Tribolium castaneum: one gene and its partner. The main gene of each other region encodes a partner of the protein of the gene in region 2 in a complex. Links are inferred from orthologs where the notes say so. Each region holds a gene or a part of one and is shown on either strand. Other genes may lie near its edges.

Evidence for each region.
Region 1: eIF3d1 (region 2) and eIF3e share a complex: the UniProt entries of both Drosophila melanogaster proteins name them as parts of the eukaryotic translation initiation factor 3 (eIF-3) complex. The link is inferred for Tribolium castaneum from reciprocal best matches to the Drosophila melanogaster genes eIF3d1 and eIF3e.

What each region holds. Positions count from the first base shown.
Region 1 is NC_087394.1:22,552,685-22,561,366, forward strand, and holds eIF3e (eukaryotic translation initiation factor 3 subunit E), read left to right. Parts: upstream 1-1,048; 5' UTR 1,049-1,136; coding exon 1,137-1,226; intron 1,227-1,274; coding exon 1,275-1,553; intron 1,554-4,757; coding exon 4,758-5,684; intron 5,685-7,612; coding exon 7,613-7,639; 3' UTR 7,640-7,703; downstream 7,704-8,682. Other genes in the region: protein Abitram, read left to right, coding at 8,410-8,424, 8,483-8,682. UniProt on the Drosophila melanogaster protein: Component of the eukaryotic translation initiation factor 3 (eIF-3) complex, which is involved in protein synthesis of a specialized repertoire of mRNAs and, together with other initiation factors, stimulates binding of mRNA and methionyl-tRNAi to the 40S ribosome.
Region 2 is NC_087399.1:4,806,323-4,817,449, forward strand, and holds eIF3d1 (eukaryotic initiation factor 3 p66 subunit), read left to right. Parts: upstream 1-2,947; 5' UTR 2,948-3,014; coding exon 3,015-3,216; intron 3,217-3,278; coding exon 3,279-3,541; intron 3,542-3,587; coding exon 3,588-3,699; intron 3,700-3,744; coding exon 3,745-3,854; intron 3,855-3,908; coding exon 3,909-4,047; intron 4,048-4,094; coding exon 4,095-4,387; intron 4,388-4,430; coding exon 4,431-5,000; 3' UTR 5,001-5,057; downstream 5,058-11,127. Other genes in the region: Sans (ankyrin repeat and SAM domain-containing protein 4B), read left to right, coding at 766-1,045, 1,096-1,371, 1,418-1,713, 1,763-2,141; uncharacterized protein LOC659017, read right to left, coding at 9,678-9,976, 10,025-10,161, 10,208-10,428, 10,479-10,648, 10,796-10,870. UniProt on the Drosophila melanogaster protein: mRNA cap-binding component of the eukaryotic translation initiation factor 3 (eIF-3) complex, which is involved in protein synthesis of a specialized repertoire of mRNAs and, together with other initiation factors, stimulates binding of mRNA and methionyl-tRNAi to the 40S ribosome.

The DNA of each region.
Region 1 (8,682 bases), on a different chromosome or scaffold from region 2:
ATAGGCTCTTGGTCACTCACATGGCAACATGCGCTTTTGGTTCCTCACAGTAAAAACACGTGCCAAATGTTTGTAGAATACGTTTTCTACAACTATACAGCTAATACTAATGCGTTTTGCCTTAGAAATCTTCTGCACTGACAGCAGTGTGACAACACTTAACCTTAGAACTGTCAGAATTGTTTTACTTTATAGTGGCTCCCTCTCAGAAACAAAAATATGCCATGGAACTAAGCAATGCGGCCAGCCGTGTGAAGGGAAAGTTCCTTCATTAATCAAGGAAGCTGTGCTCACTGAAATAGGATTTACTGATGATGCGGATAGATGGCCTTAGTGTTTTACGGGAAAAAGAAATCCTATTGGCGGATTTAAAATTTCATATTACTGAAGAAAAACGTGGTACCGATGCGCGGCTGACAAGTAAAAATTTCACAAACGTCAGCAAAATTTGAGTTTATTTTTTATATCACGTTAATTTTTCAAAGTTTTATTAAGATAGTGGTTCAAGGTGTCGTGTTTGGGTTAGACTATTGCCTACTATCGGTTAGGAACAACATGATCTCCAAGAATATAACGTAGTAATGAGCTCCAGAAGGTTTTCATTGATAGGTGCGTTTTTTCCAAAAGTGAGTTTTTTGAGAGCGAACCGCAAGTGAGTCACACTGTGAGGAGATTCCCATAGACAGAAGTTGCTAACATAAGGTGCCAGTTTGGCTGATTGCAAGTATGTCTTTATCATCGATGCGGTGACGACTATTAGTTTTGTAAACTTAATGGATTTAATAAATATCTTTAATATTAAATGTGTTTAGATCGTGTCATGTTGGGTAAAATTCTTCTATTTGTGCTGTTTGTGCATCCACCTTTTCAAATACAATTAGAAAATTTTCATAATAATTGTATTTGATAAGGTTTTGACATCATTTTGACGTGAGCAAAAATTTAAAAAATACAAAGTAATCGGGATTATTTAATTCGCGCCATTTTTAGTACGTGATGATGCGGCTAGATGGCTCCAGCTAGGAATTCATTGCCAACCATTATGTTCCGCTTCTATAAAAGTGTTATTCTAGGGTGCCGCCATATGTGTCACATTTTATAAAATCTTGTTAGTTTTTGCATAAAAACGGTATAAAATGGCCCAATTTGATTTAACTTCCCGCATGGGGCAATATTTGGATCGGCACTTGGTGTTTCCATTGTTGGAATTTTTGTCGGCTAAAGAGGTACAGTTTTTGAGGTTATGTTCATTCGGTTGATTCCGAATTTCGTAGATTTACGATGAAACGGAATTGCTTAAAGCCAAATTAGATATTTTGAGCAAGACCAACATGATCGATTATGCTATTGACATCCGAAAGCAGCTGTATCCAAATGAAGAAGTTCCTGAAGATCTGAAGCAAAGGCGTCAACACGTTGTAGCTCAGTTACAGGAGCTTCAACAGGAAGTGCAACCAATTTTGAAGATTATGGCCGACGATGAGGTCATGAAGAATATGGAAAACATGAGGGATTCGAAAACTTTGATTAATTTCCTTTCAAAGGATTACAAAGTAAATACAATGTGTTCAAAAATGGTTGTTCACCCAGTCGACTATGGAAGTCAAAAACAATGTTCCGCTTCGTTCAAATCATTATTGTAGTGTTTGAATACTCTCATCTCTGTCAAATCTTAGCTTTTTACTCACTTTTTTGCATTTCTCAAGTGTGGGGTTTGCCGTCATTTGTGTTTTACATCTCGGTGAAATTTGTTGTGTACTCTTTCGTTTTTAGATTTGAAGTTTTTTTGCATTAATTTGACGGTTTTGTCGCTTTTGACGGCATTCACAATTTAAATTAAGTGGCACATTACGTTCAAATTTCATAAGTGACTTGCAATGAACAATCATTTCTGAATAGTGTGTTTGGACGAATACATTTTTGCAAAGAAAATGCACGTCAAGCTAATGAATGTTTATTTTAAAAAAAGAAGGATAAATTGAAGAAATACCTTTATTTGTAACTTATGACCTACTTAAACACTACTTTAAAACACTATATTTAACATGAAATTAAAACAAAGAAAAATAGGAATGATATTTGACAATTAATTGTTTGAACAAAAAAAAGATAGATTTTTTTGTAATTTCAATCTTTATTGGCTTCAATGACGACTCAACTTAGCGCTGGCATACTTTTAACGAATCCCTTACAAAATTCTGGCGTTTTATTGTTCCAAATATGTTCTATTTTATTTTTTAAATCTTTCAACAACTATTGAGGAAGATTTGTAGGATACCTTTTTACTTTGTGCCAAAAAGACTCAATGATATTTAAATCAGAGCTGTTTGCTAGCCACTCAATAAACTGACGTGGAAGTGTTATTGATGTTAACGAAAATATTTAATATAATGTTTTAATTTTTCTGATATGATATTAGTTAAGCAAATAATAATAATAGGTATTTATAAAATACAAAATATAAAAACTTGATTAATCGAAATTTAATTAATTCTGCAGTGTCTTTCTGGATCAACGGCGTATAATGCTATAAGCAAAAAATTCTTAAGAAAAATTTTTACGAACTTTTTGCACAAAACATTTAAGTATTTCAGGTGTTCTAAAATAACATAAGAAATAATAACTTTTGCAGCGTTTTAATATCATGTAATTTGATTGCGATTTTATGCAATTAATGAATTAGTAATTGTTAAAAAAAATAAAAAAACAATAAACTGCCAAGGAAGTTTTATTGATGTTACGAAAATATTTAATATTCAAAAAAATTATTTAATTCTACTAGTATTAGAAGTTGTTACCATTTAATTAATAAAATAAAAAAAAACTGTGGGTCGGTCTACAGACAGCGAAATTAAAATTTAATTCCGAATTAGACTAATTCGAGTTTAAGTTGTCATTTAAAATGCATTGGCAAATGTCAAGTTAATCACTAATAAAAATTTTATTGTAATTGAAATATTCTGTAAACTTCTTTGTTTAATTTAATTTCGCAGTTGGCAAGTAAGGTATAATCCTGCTTTTTCCGTAAATTTGTGCTAATGCGAGAAGGGTTAGCTGGTTTGATCTTCCGGTGATTTCCGGGGCAAATTGTTCAGTCAGTTACAGAATTTGTTATCACTTATAATGCAACAAAAATTAATGAAAACTTAAAAGCAATTAAAGAATGTTGGCATATTAATTAGTCACACAAAAATCAGTGTTTTCTATTAAATACTTAATTTTTTTCTCAAAGATTTTTTTTTATTTTTTTTTACATTTCCTTAAATAAACATGAATTACTAAAAATTATGTTAATAAAATTGAAAATATTATTCCGTGTAATTAATTAATTATTAATTTTATAATTTCAATAGTGTCTTTTAAATGAATGATATTTTAAGCAAAAAATTCTTAATAAAATTGTTGCTAACCTCAAAATTTCGATTTATTAAATTTTAATATTTTATACAATGTGTTTTTAAATGATTCTCATCCAGTTAACTTTGAAATTGGTTTACATGTAAAAAATTGTGCCGCTTTGCTCAATTGAATCCTCTGTTAATAAATGTAAAGTCTGTCAGTTGGCAAATTCATTTAATTTGTTTTAAAAACTTCGTTAAAATGTAACTAAATTATTATACCGTGCAAGAAAACACTTTTATTTTTTAAGCTTACTTTATATTTGGAGCCTTAATAAATGGAGAATGGTAATATTCGATGTCTAAATGCCTATCATTATTTATATGAAGCGGTATTTTCTGATTTTACTGTAGAAATTCACAGACGACTAGATGAGAATTATTTAAAAACACATTGTATTATTTATTAATATTTATTTTATTTTTTAATTAATTAAGGGCCAGTTTTATAATCGAATTTAAAGGAGCATTAAATTAAATGTTTAGAATGTGAAATGTCCACAAATCCATAGTAACCAGCACATTATAAACAACTTTTAGTTGAATGCTCCTTTAAATCCGATTATGAAATTGGCCCTTAAATTTTATTACAAAAATTAAATTATTTTTTGAACATTTTATTAAATACATATTTTCATTAACATCAACAATAATTAACATCACTTTATTGATTGATTATTCTTTTGATACATAAATCGATGATCGAATGCATTCGAGCAAAAAAAGATAAATTTTGGGAAAAAATCACGTTAAGTGTCAATTTTGTCTAAGATTCTGGCCCATTTTTTTGATCAGTGCAATTTCGTACGCTTTCTTGCTCCAAAATGACAAAATTTACTGCAGAAATTTTTCAAGAGTTTTAAACTGGCTGAAAACTCTGAATTAAACAAACACTGTCTTGAAATCAGTTGGTTTTAGACTGCTTCTTGCTAATTTGTGCATTATTTTGTCTAAAAACAGTTGATTTAAAGCGAGAAAACTTTCATAAGAGTCTGAAAACTACTGCTTTAAAATTAAAACTTATCACACTGATATCTGCTCTAATGAAACAAATTTGGAATTTGCTACTCTAAACAAGCAACAAATTTGAGAGCTCTCTCCACTATCTCAGAGCGAACCGAGTATGCTCTGCTGGTCCCGAAATGTTTTAGAGAACGCATAGAGATTTACATTTGTTTGCTCGTTAGGAGTTAGAAGAACGATTAGAGAACTCTTTGAGGTAAAAAATGTAATTCTGGAACGCAGCATCAATAAAATCACTTTGATAATTAAAAATTAAACAAGATTTCGTGCAAATATTTAATTGTTAGGGCTCGTATAGTAACCAATAGTACATTTACTATAATTTTCATGTTTCAGTTTGAAATTGAGATGATTGAGTCTCTCCACAAACTGGCGAAATACAGATACGAGTGTGGCAACTATTCAGTTTCCACTTCCTATCTCTACTTCTGCATGCTGGTGTTGCCCCCAAATGACAAAAACTACTTGAGCGTCTTGTGGGGCAAATTCGCTTCCGAAATCCTGGTTCAAAACTGGGAATCCGCCCTTGAGGACTTGAATAAACTGCGCGAATACATTGATTCCAGCCCCAACCAGTTTGGAGGCAACAGCCTCCAGTTGCTCCAGCAAAGAACTTGGTTGATCCACTGGTCGCTGTTTGTATTCTTCAACCATGCGCTGGGCCGTGAATTGATAATCGACATGTTCCTCTATCGCCCCCATTACCTCAACGCCATCCAAACCATGTGCCCCCATATTTTGCGTTACTTGGCCACTGCTGTCATCATCAATCGAGTGCGCAGATCAGCGTTGAAAGACCTCGTTAAAGTCATCCAGCAGGAAAGTTACACTTACCGCGATCCCATTACTGAATTTTTGGAGCATTTGTATGTTAATTTTGATTTTGACGGTGCGAGGCAGAAACTGCACGAATGCCAGTCTGTTCTGTTCAATGATTTCTTTTTGATTTCTTGTTTGGATGAGTTTGTGGAAAATGCGCGTCTCATGATTTTCGAGACGTTCTGCAGAATTCACCAATGTATCAGTATTGGGATGTTGGCCGAAAAATTGAATATGAATCCGGAGGAAGCTGAATGTTGGATCGTTAATTTGATCAGAAATGCACGATTAGATGCGAAAATTGATTCCAAATTGGGGCATGTGGTCATGGGGGCGCAGCCTCTGTCGCCGTATCAGCAACTTATTGAGAAGATTGATACGTTATCGGTCAGGTCGGAGACGCTCTGTGGGCTTATTGACCGGAGGTTGAAAGCAAGGACAGATGTAAGATTTTTCTTTTTTTTCTCTCTAAATAATACAGGGTGACTTAGGGGTGTGTAATCGGTTTATAAGTTTTTTTTTTCTGATAGATCTATTTAAAGTCCACAAACTAATAATACTCTTATTATACACAGGCTGTTGTACAGGGTGGTGAAACAAAGTTACATTTTTTAGAGTATTTTTAAGCGTATTTTTTTTAAGAGCGATCAGTAATAAATCCGGTTTTGATCAGTATAAATAATAAATGATCAGTATTTAAATAATTTGTACACAGTAAAAAAATTAAATGACAAGTAAAGCACGCGCAGTATTTTATTAAAATTTGTTCTGTGTAAAGTCCCCAGAAAAAAAGTCGCATATGCACAGTCTAATTTGAGTTTGCACAGTTTGTAGTTATTAATAATGCAAGTGCGAAAACACAAGCCTAAGCAGATCTTAAACACAGTTTTATGTAAATTGTCAAAACTTTCACTGAAAAATTACGAATAGAAAAATGACTATTTGTTGAGCTCTATTACTTGTTAAAATTAATACACGTATTTCTGATACAGCCGGTATATTTCTTTATGAATTAATTTTATTATTAATTCTTGGTGGATGACATTTATTTAAAGTATCAAGTAATAATTAGATTACTAATGTATTTAGTTACATTAGCATATATCAAAAAATAAATTGCCATTTGACTTGTCAGATTCTAGACTAGCAAATTTTCTTGTAACAAAATACATTTTATCTCGAAAAGTATTTTAAATTTGTTTTACAAACTCTATACCATTAGAAAGCTTATCAAAAATGCTATCGATCACAGCTATCGATATGTTAAAACAAATACATATATTCGGTTCACTTTCATAAAAACCATTGTAGTGGAAATTTGGTACTCTTGGCATTAACTTTTATCATGAGTTGTCATGCTAACAGGTTAGTTAATTCGACCACAATGGCTTTTATGAAAGTGAACCGAAAATAAATTTACTATTTGAAAAAAAAAGTTAGTCTGCTTTTTTTGGCACACCCTGTACATCAGGTGTGTGTTTCGATTAAAAGTCGACTATTTATTGAAACTACAAAAAAAAAGTTTTTCTGGTGTAAATTTGTGGGAAAATATTTATAGGCGACTTCACAGTGAGTTTTCAAAAGCTGTTTTTTTTTGAATAATTTCGAAACGGAAAGAGACAGACCTATAATTGTTTATAAAAAATTTCCTTATTTTTTCACCTAGAATTTAATTATACAAAAATATATAGGCTGTTCCTATGTACAACACCCTGTGTACTGGGTATGTCGCGAGGTAGTGCACATACTTTATTTTAACCATAGATTAACCATTAAAAATAAAGTAACTAATATTTTTTATTTTTTTCTAAAAACGTTTATTATGGCATTATTGACTCTCAAAAATTACCTAATAATACTTATCTGATTTTTATAAAATTTGGTATACAATCGTTATCATAGGTAGTTATAGACTGATTACACATCTCTGGGTCAGCCAGTACAGGGTGAGTTTTAAAAAAACGAGCTACTGTGTCACAAAAATTTGAAAATATCGAGACAGTTGTTTTTTCAATTTTTATTAATAATGTCTTAAATCATCCAGGTTTTCTGATGGCATTTTAAAGATTTAGGAACTTCTTTCCGTTATTTATTTTCTATTAATCTAATTAATTCTATTTTTTAATTAATTGTTTTTTTAATCTAATTAATTTATTTTCTGTGACAATCATCTATGCTACTTAAAAAGTTTATTTTGATGACATTGCAAATATTGCACTGTTGCAAATTCTACTAACTGAAATGGGATATAATTTTAATAAAATTAATGGAAACTAAAAAAATAGACACAACTGATTGTATTATTATTAAAAAGAACCACATAGTCTTAAGCCTTATCCAAAACAATTAATAATTATTATATTTTTTTACAGATAAGGTGGGGCAATCAAGACTTTTAATCGCGTCGGACTCCTCTTATAAACTGTATTGATATAATATAATAAAATTTTGTATCAATCTCAATTTTATTTATAAAAAAAAACGAATGACGAAAAACTTGTCTCTTCCCTGACTTTGGTCTATTACAAGTAGCGCGATAGTGGTTGCCTGGTTGGATGCTGTAATACGGACATTGTCCCAAAAACAACATGACCATTGTCGATGAAGCTAGCACCATTCTCGTTTTCATTAAGGTCCCAAGGGGTGTTTGTCCGAACATGATTTTTTTACAGTTAAAGGCCCTATCGAAGGGTTTAATCTCCTACAAAAATAAAGAAAATTGCAGGATATAAAGTCGGTGAAGAAAAATAAAGTTTGTAAAATAGAGAAACTATAAATATTGAAAAAAATCGTTAAGGTCCCAAGGGGTGTTTGTCCGAACATCATGATTTTTTTATAGTCGAAGGCCCTATTGGAGGGCTTAATCTCCTGCAAAAATAAAGAAAATTGTAAGATATAAATGGGATGAAAAAAAAAGTCAGTTTGCATTGCTTGAATGTGAGAATAAAAAAGGCAGAAATTAAATGCAGTTAAGTTTTAATTTGTAAGTGTCTGGTGTGAACTTGGCTGTAGAAAACGAGAATGGTGGGGAAATGGTGCTAGCTCCATGCGCGCAGCAATTGTCTGGTCGACTGTAATGTTGGGATTTTGGTGCTATCTTCACCGATATACATAACCAAACATTTTGGTACCGCATTTAAAAAATTATAAAATAATTAGTTGTAAACAAATGGCCGAGACAGAGGTTAGTGTAAATTAATTTAAAATATGCTTTGCAAAAATTACATTTGTTTAAAAAATAGGTGGCTACAGGCTCGAGTGTTGAGGTCAAAACAGAGCCCAAAAGTCCCGAGAGTGACGAAGAAGTTGACGAAAAACCAATACCCTCCATTCTTGACAGCATTTCTAAAGAACAAATCGCCAACTTTCAGCCGTACTATGAGCGGTATTTTGAAAAAAAGTACTGTACAAAATTCACGACCGAAAATGTAAACTTGGATAC
Region 2 (11,127 bases):
TTCAGGTGGCAAAGACAACATTTCGAAAGCTAACAAAATTTTATTAGTTCGATAATTATAAGTGTTAAATCATAAAAGGCTTTTTTTAATATTAAATTTGACCCTTTTTGCCATTAAAAAAAATCATGTTAGCCTTGTTTTTCCAAAACAAATGAAGACAGAAATTTGATAAACGTCTGAGACGATAGAATTTAAATCATTTAACGCATATACCAAATTCCAATACGTTTTGATGAATAGTTTTTATAATATTTAACTGAATTCATACTTTTTAGGGACCTTGTACATGCTTATTCTCAAATAAAATAATGCTGTCTCACACAAATTTGGAAAAGGAAATCACCAATTATCCAAGTAAATAATTTTACTTAATTTAACAATTACCTACTGAAATAGGTTGTTAATTGTCTGTGTCCAATCAATTAACTGAAGTAGCAGTGGCAGTTATTTGAAATATTTAAACCATTGTAATAACAGCAAGTGAAAGCTCACTTTTCAACATTGTAATTAGGAATAAAATTAATTTACTACCTAAGAAATTTTACTGTCAGTTATCATAAATAACACGAGATTTCTATTTTCAGATAACATTTTTATCACTTTTATCCGACTTTTATCGAGACTAACTACAAAAGAATTTGAACTCAAGGCATTTTATTTAATTTACAAAGGATAAGGTTTAATAATTGCAATTTTACTCGTTTATTATTAAAATTATTTGGTTTTGCTTAAACCGGATGGATTTTTTGTATCAATACGTTGCAGGGGAGACCCGGACAAAGCCGACCTCTTCGGCAACACGGCCCTGCACTTGGCCGCGGCGCAGGGCCACAAACACATCGTCACATTCCTAGTCAATTTCGGAGCCAACATTTACTCGACTGATATCGACGGCCGCACCGCCCAAGAACTCGCCGGAATGAACAACCGCGACGACATCCTGCGGTTCTTGGACGGCGTCCACGCCAAACTGGAGGCCGGCGACAAAAAGAAAGCCAAAGCACTCAAAGAAAAAGCAAAGAAAGAGTCAGAAAAACGCATCAAAGTAAAACACGGCCCCGTCGAGAGAAACCAATCGTTTCACTTTCTTTTCAGGAATTCAACAAACGCCAAGTCAAAAAAGAGCAAGTTCAAGAGAAGCTGGAGAAACGTATGAACAAAGGTCACCACAGGCCGTCGATGATAGAGACGCTCAAAACCAGAATTAAAAGTGGGTCCATGTCGAACTTGTCGAATCTGGGGCCGGCCCCTCCGAGGTTCAGCACCATCGTGGGCAACGGGACCGTTTCCGGGATGCGGAATTTGGGGTCGGTGCAGAAGCGGGTGCTCGCCAGCCGAACAACGCGGCCTGGCTTCGACGACGACTTCAAGGTGCTCCCGAGAGTAAATAAGCATTTATTTGAAAAACTCGTTCCAGATTAGTGAAATTGAAGACGGCAAACGCTCAGTCAGATCACTAACGGGGTATCGGCGAGACTCTGAGGTACTTTACACGGGGACCATCGATGGCAGGAGAGGCCGTCTGGAATCGGTCTTCAACGAAGCTGAGTACATAGAGTCGTCTCCGCCGCCACCACCGTCCAGCAACGGCCTCACAAGGTCCATCTCCCAGCCTGACTTCATGCACGAATTGGAAACAAACGGCGACACTAAACTCCAACAAGAACCAGCGAGTATTTTCGTGCGCCCAGGAATTGGAAGCATAGCGTTCCGGTAACAAATAATCAATATGCGAAAGCACAAAAACACGTTTTTTATTTAGAAAGAGCATAACCAACACATTCCAAGGCTTCTACTCCAGCGAAGGCCCCAACGAGGAGAGTTCAATCGGGTCAGGGGAAAGCTACGGCCCCAGAACCAACACTCTATCAATCGAAGACGAGTTATCAGACCCCGAGTCCAGCGACGACGATAACCCGAACGCTCCCCTGGAACGCTTCTTGACCGCCTGGGGGCTAGGAGAGTACCTTCCCCGCTTCGAGGAGCAGAAAATCGACCTGGAAACGCTGATGATACTGACAGAAAACGATCTCCAAAGCCTGAACTTGCCCCTAGGGCCGTACAGGAAACTTGTGACCGCTGTCAGCGAACGCAAAGCCGCGCTGGAGAATCCGGGCGAAGTCACAGACAGCATGTTGTAAATATGGAGTCAAAATGTGTTATTTATTCATTGTCGTGGACATGATAACGGTATTGCTTGTATTTTATGGGCACTTTTTGTACAGATGTGTGCCAGGCATAATATTTACAAATTCGTATTTAAATTTATTATAAATAAATGTGTGTTATGCAAATGCGAGCTTATTAAACCCACTCCTTATCAGTGTTCTCTTTGCTGAGAGAAATCTGATGTCATCGTCAATACGCAATAATAGGGGACGTAAAATATACTACGAAAAAGTGAAGTTACGTGTAGAAGAATTTGAATTCAATACAAATTTTTGCGCTGTTGCGTTCTTTGTGATGGCAATGAGTTTTTATGCAAAATAAAGTTAGTGAGACACCAAAATAGAAAAAAATAATGCCTTATTGCCATTAGAGCTTATTTTCTTGCTGTTTTTCCAAGTTAAATATTAGTTATTAACAATGCAATAAATCAATTAGGTTGTAATGGAAAAAATTTAATTTAAAATTAATTGGAAACCCAAGAGTGAAGGATTTTTAACAGGATTCCATTATTATTTAGCATCGCCAACTTACATCAAATGTCGCTGCGGATCAGGGTGACAATTTTTTTCTGAAAAAAAGTGTAGAAAAGGTAAGTGAAACAACACGTAAACAAAAATTAGAGAATTAAATTGAAAAAAAAGTGGATGAAAATGTTTTCTCAAGCGCAGCGACATTTGATGTAAGTTGGCCATGTTATTTTGATTTCAAAAGCGCCGAATTTCAAAAACTGTCGATTGTCAGAATCTGCGCGCGCACATTTCTTTTTGCCAAGTGTTGTGCACAACTCGCGGTTTCTGCTTCAACATATTGAATTGAACACTTCCTAACTTCTGAAAGCAAGTCAAATGACTATGACTGATGGTCAATCAGCGGGTGAGGTCCCCAAATTCGTGGCCCCCGTAATCCAGGACAACCCGACTGGATGGGGGCCCTGCGAGCTGCCCGACCAGTTCAAAGATATGCCGTACCAGCCCTTCAGCAAAGGCGACCGTCTCGGCAAAATCAGCGACTGGACGGGGGCCGCCTTCCAAGACAAGAAATATGCCAGTTAGTCTGACATTGACACATGTCAAATTTGAGGTTAAGTGACTTATTTTTCGCAATTTTAGACAAGTATGCGTCCCAGTTCGGTTCTGGCAGTCAATACGCGTATTATCATGACGAAGACGAGAGCACTTTTCATTTGGTGGACACAACACGCGTCCAGAAGCCCCCCTATCAACGGGGGCGCTTCCGCGCGAACCAGCGCAACTTGCGCGGGCGTGGCGGCCGTGCTGGGGTGCAAGGCAGCGGCATGCAGTCCCTCGGGAAGGGGGTTAAAGCCAGGGACACGTATAAGAGGAGCCAGGTTAAGAAATGGGGACAAGGACGGGTAAGATCTCGCTTGAGTTTTACCGCAATATAGTTGGCGGTTTTAGCCCCAGATTAAGATCAGGGACGCTTCGGTTACGGTCAAACCGGATTGGGTCACCATTGAGGAAATGGATTTCCCTCGGTTGGGAAAATTGTCGCTCCCTAACGTCAAAGACGGTTGGTTTAATTAAGCAATGCGAATTTTTCTATTTTGGTTTTTAGGCGAGGATATTACTTGTTGTGGCGAGTTGGAGTACTATGACAAGTCGTACGATCGTGTCAACGTGAAGAATGAGAAGCCGCTGCAAAGCGTCAATCGTATCTTCCATACAGTGGGTTATTTTTAATATCATTGATGGCAAAAAATTAAAATTAATTATCCTCAGGTTACAACAACTGATGATCCGATTATCCGTAAGTTGAGTAAAACGGAGGGCAATGTGTACGCCACTGATGCGATCCTTGCGACCATCATGTGCTGCACTCGCTCGAATTATTCCTGGGACATCGTGATTGAAAAAATTGGTACTGTGCCCTTACAAGTGTAACAAATCTCAAACAAAATTTTTCAGGCGATAAACTCTTCTTTGATAAGCGTGACAATACGGAGTTTGATCTTTTAACCGTCAACGAAACGTCCGTGGAGCCCCCACAAGACGACGGCAACTCCTTAAACTCCCCTCGAAACCTGGCCTTGGAAGCCACTTTCATTAACCACAATTTCAGTCAACAGGTATTAAGAACAGGTACCGGGGAGCCCCGCTTCAAGTTCGACAACCCAAACCCTTTTATCTCCGAGGAGGAGGAAGGGGAGGTCGCCAGTGTGGCCTACAGATACCGCAAATATGACCTAGGGAGCGGAATAGTAATTTTTTCGTTTTGTTTCTGTCCACGTTTAATTTGTGTAGTTTTTGGTTGTCCGTTGCGAACACGATGCCGTGGTCCAGTCCCCGAATGGCGAGCTCCAATTCCTGTCAATCAAGGCCTTGAACGAATGGGATTCCAAATTGGCCAATGGGGTGGAGTGGCGCCAGAAACTGGACACCCAGAGAGGCGCCGTTTTGGCCAATGAGCTGCGTAATAACGCCTGCAAGCTGGCCAAATGGACCGTTCAGGCGTTGCTGGCTGGCAGCGACCAAATTAAATTCGGTTATGTTTCCCGGGCCCATGTCAGGGATAACAGCAAGCATGTTATTCTGGGTACACAGCAGTATAAGCCGCACGAGTTTGCCACTCAGATTAATCTGAATATGGATAATGCGTGGGGGATTCTGCGGTGTATTATTGACATTGTTATGAAACAGAAGGATGGGAAGTATTTGATTATGAAAGATCCGAATAAGCCGATGATCCGGTTGTACGATATTCCGGATAATACGTTCGAATCGGACGGGGAGTCGGAGTCGGAGGATGAGGTGCCCCCTGATTCCGTGACTTTCCAGACCCTTTATCCATACACCAACAGTGCGAAACGCTAGATTTTGTATTTTTATCATGTATTAGCGAAAGGCCGAAATAAAATGATCAATAAATAATAATTTGCAGTTAATTCTCGTGCATAGTATTAACCAACAAGTGAAAAAAAAATAAAACGGACTCTTGTCGTGTAGCAGCAGCAAGGTGCATTTGCTCACGCATTTTTTAATTTTTTTCAACAAAGAAAGTAAAGCTGTCGTATTCACAACAAAAGAAAAATAAAGGTAAGTGCATTATTCTATTTTGTTGCGGATTTACTTTATTAGGTTTAGAATTTACTTATTCAAGATTATCAGCACATTTTTATGACGTAAGATGTCATATTATCGTATGATTCATTCTTTTTTTGTTAATACGTTCCAACATTCAATAACTAAATCAAATTAACAGTTTTATTTTTACTCGAACCCACACAATTTGAGATGTTGAAAAGTTATAATCGTTTGAGTGCAACATTTTACAACAGATTAACTACTTTATAAAATTTTCAAACTAATTTGATGACATTTGAGTTTATGATGTCGTAAAGTGTATTTTTTCAATTGCTCATCTCCAAGTGGGATTGAATATGTGATACAATTAACATATTGTAAGTGAAATGTGGAATGGTAGGTATAATAATGACATAATATTAACTTGGTTTTTATTTATTTGCAATACCTTATTGCTACATATTGTAGCGGAAGTAGATGCCATGAAGATAAGTGCACTTTAATAATTTTTTTCATTTTACAAAACATCAGCTTTTTAAACTATTTTTCCCTCGAAACTAATTTGTTATTCTTCCACGAATGAAATAATGGAGGGGGGAAAGGTTTGTTACTTTATTTTTTTTTTTTTTGAATGAACTATATAATTTATTGCCGCACTTATACAATATGTTTGTTATTGTCTTTTCCAATATCTTAAATGTTTTAGTTTTGTTTTTATCAACAACAGGAGCCCTATACCCACAGTAGTTTTCGAAATATTTCACTTATGAATTCACATTGTGGAGTTAAGCGAAATATCTTTCTAATTTTTTCAAACACATTAAGCTGTATTTTGTGAAGTAGCGTTTCCATAAAGACGCATTTGTACCCAAATGAAAAAAATAAAAGTGGTCCAAACCACTCATAAAAAACATAATTAACTGAATAAAATTGAAACTTACCAAAAAGAATTAATCCAAAAAAAAAAAAATTTGTGGTCTAGTTATACTTGTGAAAACGTTTGGCCGCTTGCTTGTTCCAGAAGGGCTTCCTGTCCCTTTGGGGCAAAGTGTTCCTCAAGTCAAACATGTTTTGCACATTTTTGCCAATTTGATTATTCCATTTTTTCTTATTACTTCCCGACGGTTCATTTCTACCAAACCCAGTTTGGTTAAATTTACGTTTATTTCTAGAAAACTCATTAAACCGGACGGGATTTCCCTCCGACAATATTTGCATAACTTCGTCCAAATGTTCCTTCACGTGTGATGACTGCGAAATTTGCATAATATCAGCCGAATCACTCGGCATTTGCAAAACCAAGGTCTCCATATTACTCTTAGATAAGACACAGCCCACGTTTTTGTCCAAATATTGGGCAATTTGGTGCCTCCAGCTGTTCAGTTTTTCCAAAACTAACAACTGGCGTTTGTGTATTTCTTCGACATTTCTACGAACCGACAAATACGCTTCATCTTCAACTTTAGGATAGAGAATCTTGCAGCAGTTATTACAATCATCAAGCACAGCCCGCAAAAGGTTCGCTTCAATCAACTCATTTTTGAGTTTGTGGTAAAACCCGATTAAGTAATGGGAGTCCACACGGGCGTAGTCTTTAAATTTGGGAGGCAGGGGCCTTCTGCGAAAATCCTGACGTTGCATTGTCTTATCCTTTGCGACGTGATAGTCCTGCAAAAGTGCGTCCAGTCCCAACTTTTTGTACCCCAGCGCTTTCATCGCGATTTGAGTGTCAAACAAGTTGACGACAAAAACACCCAAGTCCTGCTGGAGCCACTTCAGGTCATTTACCGCCGAATGAAAAATTTTCACAATGTCTGGATTGGTGAAAACTTCATTCAAGGCGTGCAACTCGTCTTTTAAGGCAATCGCATCGATGATGTAGTCTTTGTCAGGGGTCGATATCTGGACGAGACAAGTCAAAGCTTTGTAGCCATGATCCGAGTATTCAACGTCAACCCCTAACTCCTTCCAGGCTTTCAAATCGGTTATTAATTCCTCGAGACTGGTTTTCGTGTCGATGTCACACAGAGGGGTTTCCTTGAGCGTTTTGGGGGCCTCTATGTTCTCAACGCGAGACAACTGCTCAACGGTGGGCTCAAAATTGAGAAGGTGCTTGTAGGGGTGGCTTTCACACGAATCCTGGCCTAGAAAAATGTTAGAACACCCAAAACTGCGCTATTTGGTGAATACCAGCAATGTCAGCGTCACAAAATTTTTTCACAGATTCTTCATTACATGTCGTTACTTCAGCAGTCTGGACTTCAGCTTGTTGGGATTCTTCTTTTTCCATTGTTATTTCGTGCTTATGTAAGCGAGGGAAGTTAATTCTAATCACAAACTTATGACGCCGCAAAAATTAGACTAAGCTCTGCCAACATGAAAACAATAAAATGGCGAAACTCGCATTCGTTTAATTATAATTCACTTTAAATTACATCAGTCTGTAGTAATCGTTACTTGATTGAATATTTGTAAGAGCTGAAGACTTATCACCTAATAATAGTGTGATTTATCAACAAATTGGACAGTTTTTGGTCCTCCGTTTAGGGGATTTGTTTGTGACCACAGGTTGGCGGTGCTCAGCGGTGCTAAACTTTTCGACAATGATGAAGGCGGCAGGTTCAAAATGCGAGTTTATTTACTAATTGAAATATTCGCAAAAACAAACATTATTTCGGATTCAATAAAAATAAAAATAATTCTTTCACAACAATAAAGAAATTAATAGCAACGTGTGTGACAAAAGCCGGGTGTATTCCAATTTCGACTTTTGTGACGTGAATACTGCCTCTCTGGACTTCGTCTCCTCTCCCCTAGTCTGTCCAATTCTCGCAACTGACTTGAACTTGGGCCAAAATCACTGTGCTTTGTAGTTTCATTTTCAATTGCCCTAGAATTGTGCAGTGTTCCCGCCAGTAGGTTTCTTGTGGTTTCACAAGTGGCAAAACAAAACTTGTTCCTCACTCGTAACCGGAGTTGCATCTATCGTTTAAACATACTCGTCATTTCGAATAGATTATTCCTTCTTAGAATAATGTTTTAGGCATTATTTATACACAAATCTCTGACATCAGGGAAGAGTAAACATAACCTAAACTTGACGTCTGTCTGATCAATTTTATTTATCAATCAGGTTCTATTTTTTCGTTGCAGCATATGATGAGATTATTATTTAAGTAATAAATATTGATTAATGAACGAATCTTAGCAAAATTCACTTCACCCTTACGGGATTTCGGTTCATGCACACTTCACTGGGTTGTTTCGAAAGCGGGGTTTTCAAATTCAAATAAATAGCCACAAAAAGTAATTTCGTTTATTGTTACGAACAATATAATACTTCAATTAAGGAATACTTCACGTTACGGCTTATGCAATACGATTTAATTATGTCTGTTGTCAATTTCTCTAATCACGAGCTGTAGTTTTTTTACTGCAGCTGTGACGTCCTGGTCACTAATTTCCCAATAAGTGACAAATCTGATAACTCCTGCGTCTCTCGAACTAGTTTTAACGCAAACTTTAACTTCATCGGTCTCAAAAACAGAGGCTAAGCGCTTTTGCACTTCTTTGGCCGTGATGATGGACTTGTCCAAATACATCATAAGGATGTTGGTTTGGACGCCCGACAAGTCCACTTGAAATGTCTTGGACTTCATGTCGCTAATACCTGGAAATAAATAAAAATAAATTTAATTACGAGTTACTTGTATGACACAGCTAACAGCTATTTATCTAATAGCTAATAAGTACCCTACACATGATGCAATTCTTTATGAAAGAAGCTGTTTTATAAATAAAGCCGAGGGCATAGCGCACAAGATTTTATGTTTGAGTGCTTTACAGAAAAATTTTCACAGTAAAGCTTTTATTATAGAAAAAAAAATCGAAGGTAAATAATTTGCAAAAATTAAAAATTCAAACAGCTAGCGACAATTTTTTTTACAATTTTTTTTGTTCGGAGCATCATTTATCATCATCATATTTTTAATTTTTTTAATACAAAGTATTTTTCTTTAATAGCAAACGCTCATTTCTGCGTGCGACATTTAGTTTTTGAGATGTAGTAAAAAATACTTTCAGCAGACTCACCTTGTATAGCGATTTTTTGACTGAATACTGCGTTCATTTTTTACAACTCAATTATTTTACAAACAGTAGCTCTGTCATTTTGAGAAAAAAAAAATGTGTTACGTACACCAGGAGATTTAAATCTTCATCTTTTTATTTTTTTATTTGTTTGTTTGTGTAACTGTAATACATGTATAACCCCTTGGGAATGAGAGTAAACGGGAGAGTTGTGACCAAAGGAAAGCCATACACAATAAAAATATATTTATTAGTTATAAATGCGTTTTCACTTAAATATTATCTTATTTGTATTCAGGTCATATCGTGTAAATTCCAAAAGCGTGTAAAAACAATCAAAAAATATAATCATCATAATAATAAACACTTAATACCTATTTAAGCTTTGATCGACTTGAATTGGTCATCGAATTCTTTCAAAACAAACGTAACTCTGTCGATCGTATCTCTGATATCATCATCGGTGATCTGCCAGTACGTCACAAACCTGACACAATCGGGCCGAATGGAGGAAGCCCTAACACTAACTTTCACTATATCATTCTTAAACACTTTGGCCAACCGATAGATGACTTCTTTGACGGCCACTTTGCTCCGATCAATATACATCATCAAAATATTTGTGTGAATTGAGGGCAAGTCAACTTTGAAGATGTCCGATCTTAAGCTATCGATAGCTGTAACAACGCTCAATTTCCGCCTGCCATAAAAACCAAACTATTTACCTCTGGCAATTTGCAAGATGTGGTCGTGGTCCTCCTGCAACCGGTCGATCATCTTGTCAAGGGCCACGAGCCCCGCGGCTGCGATAATCCCAGCCTGCCGCCAGCCGCCCCCCAGGACCTTCCTCGTCCTCCTAGCCCTGCAAAACCGCGTTAGACATCGCCAAAATCACTCGCTGGTTTTACTTGTCGACAAAAGTCTTGCTGCCGGCGAGAATCGACCCAATGGGGGCGCCTAGCCCCTTACTCAGGCAGAAGCAAACGGTGTCCACGTCCCGGACGACGCGTTCGACAGGTACTTTGAGGTAGACGGCGGCGTTCATGACGCGAGCCCCGTCCATATGGACCGGAATGTTGTACTCTTTTGAAATGTTTTTCACTTTTTCGATCCAATCTAACGGTAATACCTGAAGCGGAACAATAGTACTTTTGGGTTTTTTATTATGAATAACTTTACTTTTCCGCCACACATGTTGTGGGTGTTTTCAATAATGACTAGAGTGGTGTAGGGCTCATGACAGTCCGGGTTTTTCCGGATTCTGTCTCTGAGTTCGTCCAAACTGAACGTCCCGTCACTGTTATTGCGGATAAGGGAGGCTTGGACGCCGGCAATTTGGGCGGGGCCCCCTAAAATTGCGCAACAACTAATTACCAATGGAAATTTCTTTCTGATTAAGTGATTAATGGGCGGGTAACAATCTCGTTTCTATCCATAACTGTATTTAATGAAGTTGCGAAACCGCAATGCGAAAATTAGTACCTACACAATCATACCTTGTTCAAATCTGAATGTGTGCCCATTATCGCCTGAAATTATCTCGCTCCCCCGCTGGCTGCAGTGGACCATAACTTAAAAAGTGATAAGACGTTAGAGTTGCATAATATTATCGAAATTGGCAAATAATCAGAACGTGTGTGTTTAACGCAAACAAATAATTAAGTTATGCTGAATTAAAAATTAAATTATAACACGTGAGATGTAAGAAATAATTGCCCATTTGATAAACGATTGCTCAATAAACCCGCTCGGACGTCAAAATCGTTACTTGCAAAAATGTATTTGATCAAGATAACCAGTTTGATTTTGTTGATTCTTAAGCTCTGCG